Linked DNA regions of Lonchura striata. The protein of the gene in region 2 purifies or fractionates together with the protein of the main gene of each other region. This does not show direct contact. Links are inferred from orthologs where the notes say so. Each region holds a gene or a part of one and is shown on either strand. Other genes may lie near its edges.

The links. The genes of interacting proteins can lie anywhere in the genome.
Region 1: the proteins of RNA-binding protein FUS-like (region 2) and SF3A3 purify together in Homo sapiens (affinity purification with mass spectrometry; 3 studies listed by BioGRID and IntAct, with this or other methods). This does not show direct contact. The link is inferred for Lonchura striata from reciprocal best matches to the Homo sapiens genes FUS and SF3A3.
Region 3: the proteins of RNA-binding protein FUS-like (region 2) and EFTUD2 purify together in Homo sapiens (affinity purification with mass spectrometry; 3 studies listed by BioGRID and IntAct, with this or other methods). This does not show direct contact. The link is inferred for Lonchura striata from reciprocal best matches to the Homo sapiens genes FUS and EFTUD2.

What each region holds. Positions count from the first base shown.
Region 1 is NC_134628.1:4,815,460-4,822,832, forward strand, and holds the start of SF3A3 (splicing factor 3A subunit 3), read right to left. Parts: upstream 3,009-7,373; 5' UTR 2,947-3,008; coding exon 2,851-2,946; intron 2,778-2,850; coding exon 2,730-2,777; intron 2,491-2,729; coding exon 2,438-2,490; intron 1,927-2,437; coding exon 1,821-1,926; intron 1,415-1,820; coding exon 1,342-1,414; intron 983-1,341; coding exon 891-982; intron 766-890; coding exon 683-765; intron 326-682; coding exon 187-325; intron 1-186. UniProt on the Homo sapiens protein: Component of the 17S U2 SnRNP complex of the spliceosome, a large ribonucleoprotein complex that removes introns from transcribed pre-mRNAs.
Region 2 is NC_134637.1:542,514-549,472, forward strand, and holds the start of RNA-binding protein FUS-like, read right to left. Parts: upstream 3,005-6,959; coding exon 2,803-3,004; intron 1-2,802. Other genes in the region: uncharacterized protein LOC144247894, read right to left, coding at 3,247-3,556. UniProt on the Homo sapiens protein: DNA/RNA-binding protein that plays a role in various cellular processes such as transcription regulation, RNA splicing, RNA transport, DNA repair and damage response. Binds to ssRNA containing the consensus sequence 5'-AGGUAA-3'.
Region 3 is NC_134627.1:2,895,419-2,902,692, forward strand, and holds the start of EFTUD2 (116 kDa U5 small nuclear ribonucleoprotein component), read left to right. Parts: upstream 1-4,266; 5' UTR 4,267-4,352; intron 4,353-4,732; 5' UTR 4,733-4,733; coding exon 4,734-4,838; intron 4,839-5,438; coding exon 5,439-5,604; intron 5,605-6,022; coding exon 6,023-6,101; intron 6,102-7,274. Other genes in the region: DNAAF19 (dynein axonemal assembly factor 19), read right to left, coding at 529-978, 2,414-2,546, 3,438-3,598. UniProt on the Homo sapiens protein: Required for pre-mRNA splicing as component of the spliceosome, including pre-catalytic, catalytic and post-catalytic spliceosomal complexes. Component of the U5 snRNP and the U4/U6-U5 tri-snRNP complex, a building block of the spliceosome.

The DNA of each region.
Region 1 (7,373 bases), on a different chromosome or scaffold from region 2:
CCTGAAACAATGCTCATTTTAAACCAGGTATGCTGGGTTTTAAATTCAGGTTGGTATCACCCTGCACCCTGGTGACACAGAGCTGCAGCCCTCACTGTCATGGTCACCTCCAGCAATGACTTTACACAAATGACTCACACAAACCCCTCCCAAACGCAGGAAGATCACCCAGCTCAGGCTGCTCACCGGCCAGCCTGGGAACGTGCCGTTCTCCCACTTCTTCTCAAACTCCGTCTGAATTTTCCCAAAAAGTTCATTCTGGTCCAGTAATGGCTTCACTCGATCTGTGTAATCCTGCAGGTACTCAAGGAGCATTTCAAGATACCTGGAATACAGGGGAATCATGAGCACAGGTAATTCACTGTCACCCTCTAACCACATCTTTGGACAGTCACTACCCTCCAGTGCTGCAGAGGAACGTGACCAAGGCATGGCCAGTTTTCCACAGATTTTTTTGCCATTACAGGTCCAATGGTACATTAAAGCTCTTCCTCTGAGCTGAATGTGTCTTTCCACATCTCTGCTGCACTGCAAGTTTGATTGGGGCTCAGACACATGACTGAGCTCAGGGACATGATTTATGTGAGTTAAGTTTGGCTGTTAATTACAATCTCTGCAGCTGGACACTTCAGAAGCAAATTCCTTCTCACCATAAAGGAAACAGGCAGGCAAACAAGCTTACCTCTTATATTCAGCATTTTTCCTCTCCTTGGGAATATCGAAGAGTTGGTCAAATGTGGATAAGTAAGTGATATAATCCAATTTCTAAGAACAGAAAGTCCGAGTCAGAGCTCATACAAGGCCAGATTAACAACCAGTTCCTAGAAAAGACAAGCCTCAGCCCGGGCAGGGCCTGGAGATCCCTGGGCCCACACACAGCAGACACTCACCTCTGATGATTTCAGGTTGATGTACTTGAGATAACAATCATGCAAATCCAAGTATCGGCCATACCCTTCCTCATCTGTGAACTCCACCAGATCTGTAGGAAAGATCATGAAAAGCTTTATTATGAACTTAATATTCCCTACTTGTATTATACAACTCTTTTTGAACTGGAAAAGGATCAGCTGCAAAGTCATTTATGCTTAAGGAAGGTGCTACAATGTCTCTGACACTCATTGAGCAGCCCCAACTGCTGCTCTGTGCAAGCACCAGAACATTCCTCAGGAACAGCAGCCTCACTGGGGACTGTTCCAGGGACTCCAGTTCAGAACCATTTAGATGACAGGAGAATTTTCAGAAGTCATTTAGTAAAAGGGAGGTGAGGCCCTGAAACACGCAAACCAGATCAAACAGCCTATTAAATAATGCCAGAGCTTGAGCAAACTACAAACTTACTCTGAGCTTCTTCACTCGGGTTGTCTTTGGCCTTCAGCAGCTCCTCAAACTCCACTGACATAGGAACACAGATCTGCAAAGGCAGATACAAGGCACAGAGCGATTTACTTCAGCTCCTGTCCCAGAATAACTACTATAAAATCATGCAAGGTGGCAAATAATGAAATTGCAAACAGAAAAGAGACTCAAAGCTTTGTCACCTTTCTTTCTGCACAAAGGCAAAAGTGTGGCTTTAGCCAGCACAAGAAAGGTGAGATCTGATCCCAGCTCAGCTGAACATCCCTGTTCTAGCAGGGAACAGGGTGAGCATCCTGCACTGCTCCCTGACATGCTGCCTGACCCTGAGCATCTGTGCTGTGTGTTCTCAGTACTTGTGTGTTAAAGCAATAAAACTGGGGAAACAAAACCTCTGTTTCCTTTAGGGATGAGACCCAACAGAGCACAGCACACCTCTTCCTATGGACCAGGTAACTACTCACCTCATTTGGGTGCTTCCGGTGAAATTCCTTAATTTGCTTCAGTCTGTTGTAAAACTCTGCAAATTCATTTGGCCCGGAAATGGCACTGAGTTCTTCCTTACGCAGGCTATGAGTTCACAGACAGCAAGAGATTAGGAAGGGAAGGGAATAAGGGAGCAAAGGAAAGGAAGGGAAAGGAAGGGAAGAAGGGAAGGGGGGAAGGGAAGAAGGGAATAAGGGAAGGAAAGGGAAAGGAAGGGAATAAGGGAATAAGGGAATAAGGGAATAAGGGAAGGGAAGGGAAGGGAAGGGAAGGATGACACTGACACAACCTTAGTCCAGGGCTGTGCTGCAGTGTCTAGACTGCAAACCTTTAAGTCATGGGGACCTCCCAGCCCACCAGGCTCTCATGGTCACAGCCCACACAGGCTGCAGCCCCTGACAAACCCCGGGAGCAGGCAGGGCCTCCCCACGACACAACACAACAAAACCTGCCCATCCTACACGGATGCTCCTGGGTGCACTCGCGTCCTGCCCTGCACTCGGCCGCCACCTCTCCATTCCCGTGTCAGTCTTTAGACACACTGGATCCAGCAGCCCGGCACGCTCCGACACACGAGGGCCCCGGGCACACTCACCCGTCCTTGTCGTCGTACAGGTCCCGCAGGTTGCCGCTCACTTCCATGTACCTCTGCGGAACAAAGGAGCGGCCCGAGTGGCGCCGAGCCCGTCACCGAGCCCGTTATCGAGCCCGTTATCGAGCCCATCATCGAGCCCGTCACCGAGCCCGTCACCGAGCCCGTCACCGAGCCCATCACCGAGCCCGTCACCGAGCCCGTCACCGAGCCCGTCACCGGGACGGGCCCCGGCGGCCCCGGGGAGCCGCCCGGCCCGGCCCGGCCCAGCCCCGCTCCCGCCCGCAGCACTCACGTCCTGCATGGCCCGGGTGCGGTGGTCCGAGTTGATCTGGTCGCGGAGCTGCGGGCAGAGCAGAGCGGTGAGCGCGGGCCCGGGGGAGCCTCCCGCACCCCCCACAAGGCCCCGGGCGCACCGTGGACTTCTTGGTGAGCATCTCCTTCACCATCACGTCCATGAGGCGCTCCCGCTCCTCATGGTAGCGCCGCTGCTGCTCCAGGATCGTCTCCATGCCGCGCTCGGCTCGCAGCCGCCGGCAGGCCGCGGCGAGGCCCCGCTGTGTGGGGAGGTTCCGGTTCCGGGGCGCTGCGCGGGGCCGCGGCGCGGCCGGCAGGAGGCGGCTGCGGCCGTGCCCGAGCGCGGTGTGTGACCGCGGGTTTGTGTCCGACAGCGGTGTCTGACAGCGGGGATGTGTCCGACAGCGGTGTCTGACAGCGGGGCCGTGCCCGAGTACAGTGTCTGAGAGGGGGCCGGTGTCCGACAGCGGTGTCTGAGAGCGGGGCCGTGCCCGAGTACACTGTTCGAGCGGCCGGGCCGTGCCCCTCAGCGCGGGCCGTGCCCCTCAGCGCGGGCCGTGCCCCTCAGCGCGGGCCGTGTCCGAGCGCGGTGTCCAAGCACGGACCGTGTCTGAACGAAGTATGCGAGTGTGGGGCCGTGTCCGTGCGGCAGGGCCGTGTCTGAGTACAGCGTCCGAGTACAGTGTCCGAGTGGCAGAACCGTATCGGAGTGCGGTGTCCGAGCCGCAGGGCTGTGGCCAAGCACAGTGTCTGGGTACAGTGTCCGAGCACAGGGCCGTGTCCGAGCGCAGTGTCCGAGAGCAGGGCCGTGTCCGAGCACAGTGTCCGAGTACAGTGTCCGAGCACAGGGCCGTGTCCGAGCACGGTGTCCAAGTGCAGTGTCCAAGCACGGGGCCGTGTCCGAGCACGGTGTCCGAGCTGCAGGGCTGTGTCCAAGCGCAGTGTCCGAGCACAGGGCCATGTCCGAGCACGGTGTCCGAGCGCAGTGTCCGAGTACAGTGTCCAAGCACAGTGTCCGAGCACAGGGCCGTGTCCGAGCACGGTGTCCGAGCGCACTGTCCGAGCACAGGGCCGTGTCTGAGCACAGTGTCCAAGCACAGTGTCCGAGCACAGGGCCGTGTCCGAGCACAGTGTCCAAGCACAGTGTCCGAGCACAGGGCCGTGTCCAAGCACGGTGTCCGAGCGCACTGTCCGAGCACAGTGTCCAAGCGCAGTGTCCAAGCGCAGTGTCCGAGCACAGTGTCCAAGCACAGTGTCCGAGCGCAGTGTCCGAGCGCAGGGCCGTGTCCGAGCCATGGTGTCAAAGCACAGTGTCTGAGCACAGGGCCCTGTCCGAGCACGGTGTCCAAGCGCAGTGTCCAAGCACAGTGTCCGAGTACAGTGTCCGAGCACAGGGCCGTGTCCGAGCACAGTGTCCAAGCACAGTGTCCGAGCACAGGGCCGTGTCCGAGCACGGTGTCTGAGTACAGTGTTCGAGCACAGGGCCATGTCTGAGCACAGTGTCCGAGTACAGTGTCCAAGCACGGGGCCGTGTCCAAGCGCAGTGTCCAAGCGCAGTGTCCGAGCACAGTGTCCGAGCACAGTGTCCGAGCGCAGTGTCCGAGCGCAGGGCCGTGTCCGAGCCATGGTGTCAAAGCACAGTGTCTGAGCAGAGGGCCGTGTCCAAGCACGGTGTCCGAGCGCACTGTCCGAGCACAGGGCCGTGTCCGAGCACGGTGTCCAAGCGCAGTGTCCGAGCACAGGGCCATGTCCGAGCACGGTGTCCAAGCGCAGTGTCCGAGCGCACTGTCCGAGCACAGGGCCGTGTCTGAGCACGGTGTCCGAGCGCACTGTCCGAGCACAGGGCCGTGTCCGAGCACGGTGTCCAAGCACAGTGTCCGAGCACAGGGCCATGTCCGAGCACGGTGCTTGGTGGCACTGAGTGGCCCGAGGTGCCGGTTTGGATTTAGGGCTGCCCCAGCCTGGAGCCTCCCGGGGTTGCCCGGCCACAGCAGCGCTGTCCAGTGCCCAGCCAGGCCGTGCCGTGCTGGCTCCCCACGGCCGGTGCCTCAGTGCCCAGCAGCACAGACTTTGCTTTCAGCCCCATGTGGGTTTCAACTGCCTTCTTCAGATCCCCCCTAAATCCAAGGGTGCCTTGCCCCAACACTGCCAAATGCAAAGCTGTGATTACATTTTGACTCACTGTATATTAATAAATCATTAATATTTTTCTGCCATGTGCAATAAATTACTCTCAGCCAAAAGCAAGAAAAAAAATTGTCTTAATGGCAGCCAAAGATGATCCTTCAATGAGGATAGGATGATGCTGCAGGTAAGAATACTGTCTTTAATTACTCCCTTGCATTATAGGCAAATTACATCACTTTTCTTCATGAATGCCTGCCTAAAAATAAAAACAGAGATATGATTCTGAGCTTAGTGTTCTTCCATTTCTCTTTGCATGAACCTTCACTCTGGAAAGGGAAGAAGTTGAAATCCAGCAGTGCCCTCTCCAGCCACATGGCCTTCTTATTTTGGACTGCTGGCATCAGGAGGATCAAGGTGGGACAAGACCAGCCCTTGCATGACCACCCTCCTCCTCAGCCCACAGGTGGCAGTGCACATGGGAGGAATTGGGAGAAAGCTGGACTAAGAGATGCTATTTCATTTCAGGGACTGGGAGCTGAAATGCAGAGAATCACAGAATATCCTGAACCCATGAGGATCATCAAAGTCCAACTCCTGGCCCTGCACAGGACTCCCCAGGCAGTGGCTTGTACCTGGCTCTGCCCATTGGGGCTGCAAACGCTGCCCCTGATCCACAGTGGTGCAGGAGGGCATAGCTTGGGCAGATTTGGTCAGTGCCAGGGTCTCTTTCTACCCCTGCAGTGCTGCCCCATGTCCTCAGCAGCTTCCCCCATCCCACCTCACCAGCACAACAGCCCTGGCTTGACCCCCCTCACACCACTCCTTGTGCCTAATAAAATTTCCATGACTGTTTCAGACCCACACTCCAGAGTCTCGGGGGATGTTTGTGCATGACATCACCCTCCCCCTCCTGTAAATCAGGCACTGGGCCATGTACAGCCATGACCCATTCATGACAGGGATAAAATCCAGATGTTTCAGTGCTACGTGCAGCTGGGTCATTTCCTTTTTTGGCTAAAAACGTGAGGCTCTGGAGGCTGACTGAAAGAAGAGCCTGGGGGCCCCTTGTATAGAAACCTTTTGCGGTTAATCCCTGGAAACAGCACTGCAGAAAGCCCGGCTGGAGCTGCTGCTGCTGGAGGACAGGCTCAGCTGGGAACCTCTGGGCTGGAGCTATTCACTCACCCTCCAAGGGCCAGCACAGCACCAGAGCCCAGCCCAGGTCACAGGGCAGCAAGAGCAACAAAAATCGTGCTAGAATTCCATCAGCCAGCAGAGCAGAGCCTTTGAAGCGGCCAGGAATGTGCACACACCAGTGCCATGGTCCTGCAGAGGCACCCCGTGGGCTGTGCCCAGCCTGCCACCACAGCAGCACCCATGGGAGCCTAGCCACTGTGCTGAGAGGGCTGGAGCAGGCAAGTCCAGAGCAAGTCACAGCAGCTGTTGGTAAATGTAAAGGATCTGTGGAAAATAGTTTCATATGTTAGGGAACACATGGCTCCCTGGCTGATAAACATGAGTACAGAGCATGCAGCACTTCAGGGAAGGCTGCCAAGAGGGACCGTGGATATCCTGGCTGGAGGCTGCAGCTACCCCAGGAGTCCCCTTGGAATGCTGTGGCATGGGCAGGCAGTGCACACTGCAGGGCAGGAGGCTGCTCTGCAGCAGGGTTGGCTTGGTACCACAGCCATCCCAACAGTCCCACAGCCAGCCTGCAAAGACAGCAAGGACAGACAGATGGACACCCCCAGCCCCTGGAAGCCACTGCAGCCACGCAGCAGGAGGAGGGAGACGCTGTGGCCACAATCACAGGGCCGGCACGGCTGGTCCTGGGCTGTGGTTTGGGAAGGCAGGCACAAGCACTGCAGAGGTTGCCCGTCCCCAGAATGGGATCAGGGGTGAGGCAAGGCTGAGCAGAGCCCAGCACCCACTCAGCATTCTGCCCTGTGCCTGCTGTTCAAGAGACACAGAAGAGAAAGTGTCACGAAAATGGTTTATTGTATAAAGCTGTAGGAAATACAGAGGACGCTGAGGTTTAGGACAATTCCTTCTGGAAATGGCTCCAAGCTCCTCTCATAATAGCAAACACACAAACTCTGATTTGCTGTCATCAAAACTTCCAAACAAGGATTTAAGAAGGATCTGAATGCAGAGTAGTAACACTTCAACATGCATAACATTTTATGTTTCTAAGTGAAGCCCGGGTGGGGGGCTAGCCCCTTTATCCTGTAGTTGTGTACAAAATGATGGATATTCATGAAAGATGAGTACAAAAGGGAAAAAAACCCACAAGAACAGGTTTTCAGTAAAGCATGTGGCTGACTAAGCAGGAAAGCAGGGTTGGCAAAAGTATCCCAGCGAGACAGAAGCAGAAGGATTTAGAGACGAGGCAGGCATCCCACTGGGAGAGGCCTTAGCCCAGGGCCAGCTCATCCATTGGGCAAGGATTGCACAAGGCCTCATTTGAGTCTGGGATGGCTCAGACACCCGATTTTGCAGTTAGGGCCAACTGGGA
Region 2 (6,959 bases):
TTTTGGGAATTCCGCTAAAATCCCTAAATGTAACAGTGTGCAATACAGAAAACCTGATCCTATGTGAAGCCTCAGAATTCCACCCCAAATCGCTCCATTTTAACCGATTTTTTCACCGTTTCCGCTCCCGATTTTTCCCAAAATCCTCATATTTCGCCCCAAAATTCCCGATTTTTTTTAGGAATTCCACTAAAATCCCTGAATATAACTTAGTGTGGAATGCAGAAAAACTGATCCCATCTAAAATCTCAGAATTCCACCCCAAAATCCCTCCTATTTCAGCCAAAAATCAGCCAATTTTGGTCCGGATTTCGCCGTTTTCACTCCCAATTTTTCCCAAAATCCGCATATTTCACCCCAAAATTCCCAATTCTTTTGGAAATTTTTTGGGAATTCCACTAAAATCTCTTGATATAACTTAGTGTGGAATGCAGAAAACCTGATCCCACGTGAAGCCTCAGAATTCCACCCCAAATCCCTCCTTATCTCAGCCAAAAATCAGCCGATTTCGCTCCGGATTTCGCCGTTTCCGCTCCCGATTTTTCCCAAAATCCGCGTATTTCGCCCCAAAATTCCCGTTTTTTTTGGGAGTGCGACTCACAGGAGGCGGCTCCGTAGTGTCCCTGCTGCCCGTAGCCGCCGCTCGGGGGGTTTGGGAACCTGATCCCACCCCAAATCCTCCCAAATCCCCCCAAACTTCAGCCCATTTTGCCCAAAATCTGCGGATTTCGCCCCAAAATTCCCGATTTTTTGGGGAATTTTTTGGGAATTTCATTAAAATCCGTAAATATAATTTGGAACCAGTTGGAGAAAAACCAATTCCCACCCCAAAATCCCTCCTATCTCAGCCCAAAATCAGCCGATTTCGCTCCGGATTTCGCCGTTTCCGCTCCCGATTTTTCCCAAAATCCGCATATTTCACCCCAAAATTCCCCATTTTTTTGGGAATTTCACTAAAATCCCTGAATATAACTTAGTGTGGAATGCAGAAAACCTGATCCTACGTGAAGCCTCAGAATTCCACCCCAAACGCCGAAAATCTCAGCCAAAAATCAGCCGATTTCGCTCCGGATTTCGCCGTTTTCGCTCCCGATTTTTCCCAAATTCCTCATATTTCGCCCCAAAATTCCCGATTTTTTTGGGAATGCGACTCACAGGAGGCGGCTCCGTAGTGTCCCTGCTGGCCGTAGCCGCCGCTCGGGGGGTTTGGGAACCTGATCCCACCCCAAATCCTCCCAAACTTCAGCCCATTTTGCCCAAAATCTGCGGATTTCGCCCCAAAATTCCCGATTTTTTTTGGGAACGTGACTCAGATCCCTGGATATAATTTGGAACCAGTTGTAGGACCATTGTTTCTATCCCAAACCCTGGAATTCCCCCATTTGTGCCGATTTCAGTTCCGATTTCGTACTTTTCGCTCCCGATTTTGCCCAAAATCCGCATATTTCGCCCCAAAATTCCCGATTTTTTTTGGGAATGTGACTCAGATCCCTAAATATTGTTTGGAACCAGTTGTAGGAAAACTGTTCCCACCCCAAATCCCAAAATTCCACCCCAAATCCCTCCTATCTCAGCCAAAAATCAGCCGATTTCGCTTTGGATTTCACCGTTTTCACTCCCGATTTTTCCCAAAATCCGTGTATTTCGCCCCAAAATTCCCGATTTTTTTGGGAATTCCACTAAAATCCCTGAATATAACTTAGTGTGGAATGCAGAAAACCTGACCCCACGTGAAGCCTCAGAATTCCACCCCAAATCCCTCCTATCTCAGCCAAAAATCAGCCGATTTCGCTCCGGATTTCGCCGTTTTCGCTCCCGATTTTTCCCAAAATCCTCATATTTCGCCCCAAAATTCCCGTTTTTTTTGGGAGTGCGACTCACAGGAGGCGGCTCCGTAGTGTCCCTGCTGGCCGTAGCCGCCGCTCGGGGGGTTTGGGAACCTGATCCCACCCCAAATCCTCCCAAATCCCCCCAAACTTCAGCCCATTTTGCCCAAAATCTGCGGATTTCACCCCAAAATTCCCGATTTTTTGGGGAATTTTTTGGGAATTTCATTAAAATCCGTAAATATAATTTGGAACCAGTTGGAGAAAAACCAATTCCCACCCCAAAATCCCTCCTATCTCAGCCAAAAATCAGCCGATTTCGCTCCGGATTTCGCCGTTTTTGCTCCCGATTTTTCCCAAATTCCTCATATTTCACCCCAAAATTCCTGATTTTTTTGGGAATTTCACTAAAATCCCTGGATATAACTTAGTGTGGAATGCAGAAAACCTGATCCCACGTGAACCCTCAGAATTCCACCCCAAATCGCTCCATTTTAACCCATTTTTTCGCCATTTTCGCTCCCGATTTTTCCCAAAATCCTCATATTTCACCCCAAAATTCCCGATTTTTTGGGGAATTTTTTGGGAATTTCATTAAAATCCGTAAATATAATTTGGAACCAGTTGGAGAAAAACCAATTCCCACCCCAAAATCCCTCCTATCTCAGCCAAAAATCAGCCGATTTCGCTCCGGATTTCGCCGTTTTCGCTCCCGATTTTTCCCAAATTCCGCGTATTTCACCCCAAAATTCCCGATTTTTTTTAGGAATTCCACTAAAATCCCTGAATATAACTTAGTGTGGAATGCAGAAAACCTGACCCCACGTGAAGCCTCAGAATTCCACCCCAAATCCCTCCCATTTCAGCCAAAAATCAGCCGATTTCGCTCTGGATTTCGCCGTTTCCGCTCCCGATTTTTCCCAAAATCCTCGTATTTCGCCCCAAAATTCCCGTTTTTTTTGGGAATGCGACTCACAGGAGGCGGCTCCGTAGTGTCCCTGCTGCCCGTAGCCCGGGGGCGGGTTGTAGGAGCCCTGCTGCCCGTAGCTCTGCTGCCCGTAGGCGCCGCTCGGGGGGTTTGGGAACCTGATCCCACCCCAAATCCTCCCAAACTTCAGCCCATTTTGCCCAAAATCTGCGGATTTCACCCCAAAATTCCCGATTTTTTTTGGGAACATGACTCAGATCCCTGGATATAATTTGGAACCAGTTGTAGGACCATTGTTTCTATCCCAAACCCTGGAATTCCCCAATTGTGCCGATTTCGCTCCGGATTTCGCCGTTTCCGCTCCCGATTTTTCCCAAATTCCTCATATTTCGCCCCAAAATTCCCAATTTTTTTGGAAATTTTTTGGGAATTCCACTAAAATCCCTAAATGTAACAGTGTGCAATACAGAAAACCTGATCCCACGTGAAGCCTCAGAATTCCACCCCAAATCGCTCCATTTTAACCCATTTTTTCACCGTTTCCGCTCCCGATTTTTCCCGAAATCCGCGTATTTCGCCCCAAAATTCCCGTTTTTTTTGGGACTGCGACTCACAGGAGGCGGCTCCGTAGTGTCCCTGCTGCCCGTAGCCCGGGGGCGGGTTGTAGGAGCCCTGCTGGCCGTAGCCCTGCTGGCCGTAGGCGCCGCTGGGCTGCGGCTGCGGCTGCGGCTGCGGCTGCTGCGCGTAGGCGCCGCCCGCCGCGCCCGGCCCGTAGCCGGAGCCGCCCGAGCCGCCGCCGTAGCTGCGGAGAAATGGGGTGAAAAATGGGGATTTTGGGAAAAAATGGGGGTTTGAGGGGGAATGTGGGGGGTTTGGGGGGGGGGGGATGGGGGTTTGGGGGGGGGATGGGGGTTTGAGGGGGGAATGGGGGTTTGAGGGAAGAGGCGGAAAAATGGGACTTTGGAAAGGGGAAAATGGGGATTTTGGGGTGAAAAAAGGGGATTTTGGGAAAAAATGGGGGTTTTGAGGGAAAAAATGGGGGGTTTGAGGGGGGAATGGGAGTTTCAGAGAGAAAAATGGGGGTTTGAGGGGGGGGAAATGGGAGGTTTGGGGGGGAAAAATGAGAGGTTTGAGGGAAGAGGCGGAAATTTGGGGTGTGAAAAATGGGAGTTTGGAAAGGGGAAAATGGGGATTTTGAGGTGAAAAAAATTGGAGTTTTGGGGTGAAAAAAGGGGATTTTGGGAAAAAACAGGGGGTTGAGGGGGAGAAATGGGGGCTGAGGGGGAAATAGGGGTTTTGAGGGGACATATGGGGAGTTTGGGGGGGGAAATGGGAGGTTTGAGGGGGGGAAATGGGAGGTTTGAGGGAAGATGTGAAAAAATGGGACTTTGGAAAGGGGAAAATGGGGATTTTGGGGTGAGAAACGGGGATTTTGGGAAAAAATGGGGGTTTTGAGAGAAAAAATGGGGGGTTTGAGGGGGGAAATGGGGGGTTTGAGGGGGGGAGATGGGAGGTTTGAGGGAAGAGGTGGAAATTTGGGGTGTGAAAAGTGGGAGCTTGGAAAGGGGAAATGGGGGTTTTGGGGTGAGAAACGGGGATTTTGGGAAAAAAATGGGGGTTGAGGGGGGAGAAATGGGGGTTTTGAGGGGGAAAATGGGGGTTGAGGGGAAAAATGGGGGGTTTGGGGGGGAAATGGGGGTTTTGAGGGGGGAAATGGGATTTTTGTGGGAAAAGGGGCTTTTAAAAGGGGAGTTTGGAAAGGGAAAATGGGGATTTTGGGGTGAAAAAAATTGGAGTTTTGGGGTGAAAAAAGGGGATTTTGGGAAAAAACAGGGGGTTGAGGGGGAGAAATGGGGGTTTCAGGGGGAAATAGGGGTTTTGAGGGGACATATGGGGAGTTTGGGGGGGGAAATGGGGGTTTTGAGGGAGGGAAATGGGAAGTTTGAGGGAAGAGGCAGGAAAATGGGACTTTGGAAAGGGGAAAATGGGGATTTTGGGGTGAAAAAAGGGGATTTTGGGGAAAAATGGGGGTTGAGGGGGGAGAAATGGGGGTTTTGAGGGGAAAAAATGGGGGGGTTGGGGGGGAAATGGGAGGTTTGAGGGGGAGAAATGGGAGGTTTGTGGGAAAAGGGGCTTTTAAAAGGGGAGTTTGGAAAGGGAAAATGGGGATTTTGGGGTGAAAAAGGGGATTTTGGGAAAAAATGGGGGTTTTGAGGGAAAAAATGGGGGGTTTGAAAGGGGGAAATGGGGGTTTGGGGGGGGAAAAATGGGAGGTTTGTGGGGGGGAAAATGGGAGGTTTGAGGGAAGAGGCGGAAATTTGGGGTGTGAAAAGTGGGAGCTTGGAAAGGGGAAATGGGGATTTTGGGGTGAGAAACGGGGGAATTTTGGTGTGGAAAAAGGGGATTTTCGGAAAAAATGGGGCTTTGAGGGAAAAAATGGAGATTTTGAGGGGGGAAAATGGGAGTTTCGGGGGGAAAAATGGGAGGCTTGAGGGGGGGAAATGGGGGTTTTGAGGGGAAATATGGGGGTTTTGAGGGGGGGGAATGGGGGTTTGAGGGGGGGAATGGGATTTTTGTGGGAAAAGGGGCTTTTAAAATGGGACTTTGGAAAGGGAAAATGGGGATTTTGGGGTGAAAAAGGGGATTTTGGGAAAAAATGGGGGTTTTGAGGGAAAAAATGGGGGGTTTGAGGGGGCGGAAATGGGGGTTTGAGGGGGGAAATGGGAGGTTTTGGGGGGGAAATGGGAGGTTTGAGGAGGGAAATGGGGGGTTTGAGGGAAGAGGCAGGAAAATGGGACTTTGGAAAGGGGAAAATGGGGATTTTGGGGTGAGAAACGGGGATTTTGGGAAAAAATGAGGGTTTTGAGGGAAAAAATGGGGGGTTTGAAAGGGGAAATGGGGGGTTTGAGGGGGGAATGGGGGTTTTGAGGGGGGAAATGGGGGGTTTGAGGGAAGATGAGGAAATTTGGGGTGTGAAAAGTGGGAGTTTGGAAAGGGGAAAATGGGGATTTTGAGGTGAAAAAAGGGGATTTTGGGAAAAAACGGGGGTTTGAGGGAAAAAATGGGAGTTTCGGGGGGGAAAAATGGGGGGTTTGAGGGGGGGAAATGGGATTTTTGTGGGAAAAGGGGCTTTTAAAAGGGGAGTTTGGAAATGGGAAAATGGGGATTTTGAGGTGAAAAAAATTGGAGTTTTGGGGTGAAAAAAGGGGATTTTGGGAAAAAACGGGGGGTTGAGGGGGAGAAATGGGGGTTGAGGGGGGAAATGGGGGTTGAGGGGGGAAATGGGGGTTTTGGGGGGAGAAATGGGATTTTTGAGGGATGACGCGGAAATCTGGGGTGTTAAAAATGGGAGTTTGGAAAGGGGAAAATATGGATTTTGGGGTGAAAAAAGGGGGAATTTTGGGGTGAAAAAAGGGGATTTGGGGAAAAACGGGGATTTTGAGGGGGAAAATGGGGGTTTTGAGGGGGAAAAATGGGAGGTTTGGGGGAAAACACAGGAATTTGGGGCGTGAAAAATGGGAGCTTGGAAAGGGAAAATGGGGATTTTGGGGTGAAAATATTGGAGTTTTGGAAGGGAAAATGGGAAATTTGGGGTGAAAAGGGGGAATTTTGAGAAAAATGGGGGTTTGCAAAGGGAAAAATGGGAGGTTTGCGGGGAGAAAATGGGGGTTTCTGGGGGAGAAATGGGATTTTTGAGGGAAAAGGGGCTCAAAAAAGGGGAGTTTGGAAAGGGAAAATGGGGATTTTGGGGTGAAAAGGGGGGATTTTGGGAAAAATGGGGATCTCCAGGAAGGGAAATCGGAATTTTGGGTTTAGAAGACATGAATTAGAGGGTAAAATGTGGGCACGTGGGGGAAAAATGTGGGAATTTGGAGGGGAAAAAACGGGAATTTCAGGGGTTGGGGTTTGTGTTAGTGCTTTGGGGTATTAACAATAACAATTAATTAGTGCTAATTAAGGATTAATTAGTGCATTAATCACCCTCCAGAGGCCGAGGCAGCCGCAGGGGGCTGGGAATACCCAGGGCAGGAGGAGCTTTGGAGTTACTGGTGTGGGGTTTGTGTTACTGGTTTGGGGTTTTAATTAACAATAACAATTAATTAGTGCTAATTAAGGATTAATTAGTTAATTAATCACCTTCCAGAGGCCGAGGCAGCTGAAGGGGGCTGGGAATAGCCGGGGTAGGAGGAGCTCTGGAGTTACTG
Region 3 (7,274 bases), on a different chromosome or scaffold from region 2:
AGGGAACTATCTGGGTTTTATCACTAGTGGGTGTGTGATACCACTAAAGCCAGATGGAGATCTTTCACCACAGTCCTCTCCTCATTTTACTGTTACCTTTTCATATGCAGACCTCAGACCAGAAGCTTCAAGAAGTGCCTTGACTCTTCCCATTCTCATGAGAAAGGAGGTTATAATGTTTTCCCTAGATCACCCAGAAAAGCAGAACAGAAGTGTAACCACAAGAGGAGAAACACAATTATTGTTCTTCAGACAACAAGTACTATGTGAAGAGGCTGTTTTAAGAGTTTTAAGGATTTCTCCTTCAAAACTACCACCCTGTTTTCTTTCCCTTGGTTTTCTCCTCATCCAAGAGACTCTGCCACACCCATCTGTGAGGACACCCTGCTCAGAGATCACAGCACCACAGCCTGGGAGCTAAACTTTATTGTGCAGAACTTGTGCCCTGGGGGGTGCCAAAGTCAAGCTTTGAGTTTTTTCTGAGCCTTTTTTACCCTGTTTCTGCTCAATCCTGGTGCTCCTGCTCCCTCAGCTGACCTGGTAACACTTCATCAGCTCCACTACTGTCCTCTCCTCCTCAGTTTCCAGGGGAAAGGCTTCCCTCCCTGCCTCACAGCTGGCCAGGCAGCTGGGCTGGCCAGCAGCCTGGCAATCCCTGCTCTGCAGCTTCCTGAACAAATCCTGGCTGCTCTCCTTCTCCGCCTGGCTCAGGAGAGCCACGTTCAGCCCGAAGCGCTTGGTGCCCGCCAGGCTCTGCAGGACCTGAAGGACGGCAGCTCTGTCTCCAGGATGGATGTTCTCTGCCAGCACTGTCAGGAATTCCCCCAGGAGGCCAAAGCCCACATCAGCCTGGAAGATCCTGCCCAAGGCCTCCCCTCCGAGCTCCAGCAAGAACTGGTATTTCTCTGTCCCACTTTTCAAGCATCTGCGCCAATCTCGGTGAAATTCTGCAGCAGTGCCAGGCAGCTGATCCAGCTCCTGGAGGAGAAAGGAGACACTCAGGTCCTTTTGTTTTGTTCCCACCTGAAGACTTTGAGCCCTTTGATGGACAGCTGAGATGTTTTTACCAGGGGCTTTGGCAGCACAAGGAGCTGCTGAGGGGGAAAAGGGGAAAACAAGGAAACGGCAGGTGCCTTTAACCCCGAGAAACCAGGGAACTCCAGGGGAAAAGGGACGTGTGGATGAGGTGTGACACCCAGGGTGAGCACAGATGGCTGTGGAGTGGCCCCAGCCCCAGCCAGAGTCAGACTCTGCCCAGCCTGGATCCAGCAGCACTGCCTGGGAAGGGATCTCAGAGAGATCAGGGCAGGAAACACTCTGAGCACACAGAGGAAAAACCAGGGGGTGGCAGAGCAAAGGTGGGAGATGCAAACCACAGAAAATGTCCAGATGCCCTTTCTGGTACCACCTGGCTTTGGTGGGTGTCTGCCAGAGCAGAGGCTAAGAGCTGAGCTCCAAGTGGCATTCCCAGGTAGAGGAAATCCCATTTTATACCAGCTCCAATGAACTGCTGAGCCCAGCCCTGCTGGGTCACCAACACACAGGCTGGAGGAGGAGGGAAATGTGCAGCTTTTCTACAGCCAGGGAACAAAGCAAAGTGACACCAGCTGGGGCTGAGCACAGGTGGAGAAGCTCCGGAGATCTGAGCCTGGTGCTGATGGAACCAGGAGCAGGATTTGCTTGGGGAGATCACTGCTCAGTCCAAGCAAACACAGAACTACTCAGGAGAGTTGCAAAAGATCTTACAATAAACACAGGTCAATGAAACCCAGCATCATAAACAATCCTCGAGATTGTTTATAAGGCAATCCATGAAATTGCCTTATCATGGGAAACATCCAGTGACCAGGACACTCCAGCATGGACAGAGCCCACAGCAGGGGCAGGAGGTGACTCCAATCACAAATGGCTTGGACAGAAAATGTCCTGTCCCTGTTTCCCACTGCTGAGGGACCCAGTGAGCTGATCAGGCTTGGGCAGGATTAACCCAAGCCAGTTCTTTTCCATGATCATTAAACCACGGGCAATTCCCTGTGCTCAGGAACCTCTGCAGCCAGAGGCTGTCCCAGGGAGGATCCTGGTGCAGGCCTGGCCCTGGGTCAGGCTGCAGCTGCTGGGAGCAGCTCCCAGCCAGGGACAGCTCCCACGGACTGTTCCTGTCCCAGCACGGGGGCACTGGGAGCTCTGGGGCCAGGCTGTGCAGCCAGGCCTCCATTCCCACAGGGATGGAGCAGACTCTCCCTGAAGAGGCCCAGCCTGACCCCATGTTGACCCAAATTCTGATATTCAAGGGGCTGGAGCGTTGGCTCACACCCAGAGTGAATCCTGAGTAACTCCTGCATTCCAATTAACACCCAGATGATTCCTGAGTCATTCCCAGCTGTGGATGAGGCCCCAGCAGCCTCTCCCTCACCTGTGGGATCTCCACAGCGTGGGCAGGTGCTGCCTGGGCTGGGGCTGCACAGGGATTCCACAGCACATTCCTCCTCTGTCCCAGCCTGTCCTCCTTCTCCAGAGGCTTCAGGTGAGAAGCCAGCACAATCTCCCTAAAGGGAACAGAGACAGGAGGGACACATGGCAAGAGAAAACACTTTGAGGCTTCAAGCTGCTCCCCTGAGCCAATTTCTGACTTTGGGCTGTGTGGATCACCTATAGGGGCTGGACAGGCTGGAGGAGCGGGCCCTGACTAATACAAGGATAAACCACCTTAAAATCCCTGGGGAATCCCATCAAGATACTTGGGGAGAAGCCACTTGAAAGTGTTTTCCTGCTCCTCGGGGATCAGGTGGCAGGGGGGAATGAGACAGACATGAATCCATGAATGGAATTTGAGCTGGTCCCAGAATGCCTCCCAAGTGTGGTCAAAGCCCTGGATCTACCTTTGGATCCTGGATGGAGATGGACAGGGAGCCCCCAGAGGGATCCACGGGAAACCCAGGAGTTTGGGGGGCACTGGGAGTGCCTAACACTGCCCCGTGGAGCCGCCCTGCCATCCCAGCCTGCTCACAAGCCCCGGCCACAGCAGTGACACTCCAGGGAGCAGGGACAGGCTGGGAAGGGCACAGGGGACACGTCACCCTCTGCTCCTGCTCTGCCAGCACAGCCTGGGGCTGTGGGGCTGGGCTGGGAACGGGAAAAGGTGACATTGTCCTGGGGAGGGGACAGTGCCACTCCACTGCTGGCTACAGCTGGGCCACCACAGGGGTCAGGCACGGAGCAGAGACAGATCTCAGCCCACACGGGGCCACCTGAGGAGCTCTGGGCCAAGTCTCAACCACGGCCGGGTGGGCTCTGCCCCGGGGCTGTTCAGGGCACCCCGGGGCCGCTGCCCTCGGGTCCCTCGGGGCAGCCTCAGACCCTCAGAGCTGAGCTCAGACCCGGGGGGAGCGCCCAGCCGAGCTCCCGGCCCCTCCCGGGCCGCTCCCCGAGCCCCGGACCTGAACTGGTCGTAGTCGGGGACGCCCTGGCGGAGCGCCCGCAGCTTGGCCTCGCCCTCCCGCTGCCGCCGCTCGTCCTCCGCCAGCGCCGCCCGCAGCTCCCGCTCCAGCGCCGGGAACGCTCCGGCCGGATCCATCCCGGGCTCCATCCCCGGCTCCATCCCGGGCCGCGGGCAGGCACCTGCGGGACGTGCGGACAGGGACAGCCCTGCCTGCGGTGGCTTCGAGGACACACTTCTGTCACAACAGCGCTGCCGGGACTGGCCCGACAGCCCCGATCCTATCGCGACAGTCCTGCCTTGTGAGCCCCAAGGCCGCGCACGGGGATGGCCACTGGGAAGCGCTCCCCTGCCCGAAACTCCCCAGGCCCTGACACACCGCCGGCCCCGGGGCCCCTTGCTGTGTCGCGACAGCCCCGCGGGTGACGAACACCTCAGCCCAGGGCTGCTCTCTATCGCGACAGCCCCGCGGGTGACGAACACCTCAGCCCACGGCCGCGGTCTATCGCGACAGCCCCGCGGGTGACGAACACCTCAGCCCAGGGCCGCTCTCTATCGCGACAGCGCCGCGGGTGACGAACACCTCAGCCCACGGCCGCGCTCTATCGCGACAGCGCCGCTCCCGCCGCCAGAGCGCCGGGGCCACGCAAGGTCCCCGGGGCTGCCCCGGCCGCGCCTGACAGGACCGGCCCCGCCGCCCCGCGCGGCCCCGCTCGCCCCGCGGCCCTCGGGATGCTCCGGAACCGGTCCCGACCCGGTCCCGACCCCGCTCCGGACTCAGCCGGCGCTCCTCGGAGGGGCGCGGCGCTGGCGACGGGCGCGGAACGCTCTGTGGCGACAGGCGGCGAGGGCGGCCCGGGGCCCTTCGGCAGCGGCGGCGCCGGCGAGAGCAGCGGCGGGAGCGGAGCCGGGGCAGGTGAGGGAGAGCGGGACCGGGAACGGGACTGGGAATGGGAATGGGACCGGGAACGGGACTGGGACCGGGGCCGGTGAGGGAGAGCGGGAACGGGGCCGGGGCCGGGGCCGGTGAGGGACAGCGGGACCGGGACCGGGAACGGGACTGGGACCGGTGAGGGAGAGCGGGACCGGGAACGGGACTGGGACCGGGACCGGGAGTGGGACCGGGGCCGGTGAGGGAGAGCGGGACCGGGGCCGGGACTGGGACCGGTGAGGGTGAGGGAGAGCGGGACCGGGACCGGGCCGAGGCTGCGGACAGGGCCGGGGCTCCGTGCCCTGAGGCGGTTCTGTCACGGCCCGCAGTCCCTGCGCCCCCACCGATCCTCTCCCGCCCCCCAGCATGGACACCGACCTGTACGACGAGTTTGGGAACTACATCGGGCCCGAGCTGGACTCGGACGATGACGACGACGAGCTGGGCCGAGAGGCCAAAGACCTGGACGAGGTGAGGCGGGGCAAAGAGCCCCGGGGCCGGCGGGGTTCGTCCTGCCCGGAGCCGGAGCGGGGACGGGCCCGGGCTGCTGCCGCCCCGTGTGACTCTGGGCTCTGCTCAGTGCCCGAGGGTCGGAGTGTGCCGGTGTTTAAAGGATTACAAAAGCTGTTCCTGCAGAAAGGGAGATGCAGAGTCCTTGCTGGGAGCTCCCGGGCCGGGCTGTGCTCGGCTGGTTTGGTGTCGGGCGGGGTCCGTGTCCGGCGGGAGGGAGCCGAGGCTGCCGCGGGGAGCCGCATCCTGGTGGGGAGAGGCAGAGCAAGACCCCACGGACACGGGGGGAGCAGAGGGGCGGGGAGCCCCTTCCCATGGCCTGTGGGGTGGGTTGTGTTACCGGGTGTGATTCTTGTGCTGTGTGGGGTCGCTGCCTGGGCTGGTGTCCCTGCAAGGCCAGGGGCTGTTCCTGATCCTGTGCTGTGGGCAGAGCCATGCTGCTCCTCCAGGAGCTGCTCCCAGGGCACCTCTGGGGCTGCACTGGGGTCCCTGGCTCGGGGTGACCCCAGGCCTGTCCCCTTGGGGGGCCCCACAGCCGCTCAGGGCGAGCTTTGGTTGCAGCTGGAGGATGATGACGATGACGATGACATGGGGGAGCACGATGAGGAGCACCCCGGGATGGAGGTGGTGCTGCACGAGGACAAGAAGTACTACCCCACGGCAGAGGAGGTCTATGGGCCTGAGGTGGAGACCATTGTGCAGGAGGAGGACACGCAGCCACTCACCGGTGAGTGGGGAGGAGGTGGCGGGAGGAGAAGGCTCTTAATGGATCCTTGGAAAGGGAAATAATCTTCCCTTCTCTCCTGCCCCGTTGGAGCCCCCTCCTAGCCTCAGGAGCTCTGCCTGTTGTGTGCAGATTTGGGCACTTGTGGTTTTTGCAAACCCAAAGGTACCTTGGAAGAACAGGAATCAGCAGAGATGGGAAAGCTGTGTAAGGGAGAAGTAAATGCAGTTAAGTGATCTCCTTTACCGGAATGGCTCAGCTGGAAGGGCCCTGCAGTGGCCATCTCCTGCAGCCTTGACAAACAGCTGGGAGAATCTGTCAGCCACAAAATTGAGGGGTTGTCAGCTGAAGTCCCCATTCCAGGGGCCATTCCTGGTTCAGGGGCTCTGGGAACAGTCTGTTGTTGTGTCTCTTGTTTCAGAGCCCATTATCAAACCTGTGAAAACCAAGAAGTTCTCCCTGATGGAGCAGACGCTGCCGGTCACTGTCTACGAGATGGAGTGAGTGTGGGGCTGGGGAGGCACATCTGGGCTCTGGCTTGGTGTCCCACTGACCTGAGAGCAGCCAGTTCCCAGGTTCTGAACCCAAAACAAGAGGAAGTGCAGGACAAACTGTTTCACAGACATTTTCCCTCCCCACCAGCAGCACAGGGTAGGGTTGCACACAAAAGGGGCTAATATCAAGCTCCATAGCAACAGCTTGTGGCTCAGGAAACCTTCTTGGAATGGTTTGGGTCGCAAGGGACCTTAAAACCCATCCCTGCCATGGGCAGGGACACCTTCCACTATCCCAGCTTGCTCCAAGCTCCAATGTCCAGCCTTGGCCTTGGATACTTCCAGGATGGAGCAGCCACAGCTGCTCTGCCCAACCTGTTAAATATCCACACAGTCAGTGTGTAGCACACATCATACTGGGACATTTTGGGTTGATCCCACTCTCAGATTAGGTCAGATTAGGTCCCATCTGTTCCAGTTTCCATTGGGAATTTTTGTGCTGCTGGCTGAGTGCAGAGTGCTGTGTCAGTCAGCAGTTGTGCTGTGCTTGTGGCCCAAAGCAGCTTCTTGGACACCAGGGCTGGGAGAAAACTTGGAAAAAATTCCAAATGCATTTAAAATTGGAGATGTCATATGTCAAAGGAGTTTTCTGTGGAATAAAAAGCATCCTTGGCTTTTTCTGGTAGAAATGTAGTGTTGGTCTGTGCATTGTGGTGGGCAGGGTCCATGGCCCTGTACATGCAGTGTGTGTGCGTGTTGTCTCTCTTTGGGATGAGCAGCTGGAGCTGTGGGGGTCTCCTTGGGCTCCTCTCTCCACTCACCACTTCATGGCCTGTCAGGGCTTTTCCCAGTTTGAATTCTCCTCTCCAGGTCCCAGAAGCAGGTGTGGCTGAGCAGCAGTTCCCTGGTGTTGAGCAGTGCCTCTGCCTGGTACCCAGCAGTGTTTTCCAGAGGGGACAGGAGTTCCTGGAGCTGCTGTTCACTCAGGGGTCCCTCAGCTGCCCGGGGCTGTGCTCGGTGCCTGGGGGGTTCAGCAGAGCTGGAGCAGAGCCCAGGAGCTGCTGGGGCTGTTTTTTCTCAGCCCTTGCTTTGGCTCAGTCCCTGACCTGGGCTCTGCATTATCCACCACTTCCCTGATCCTTGTGTGCTCTGCTCATTCCATTTGTAATTAATTCATTT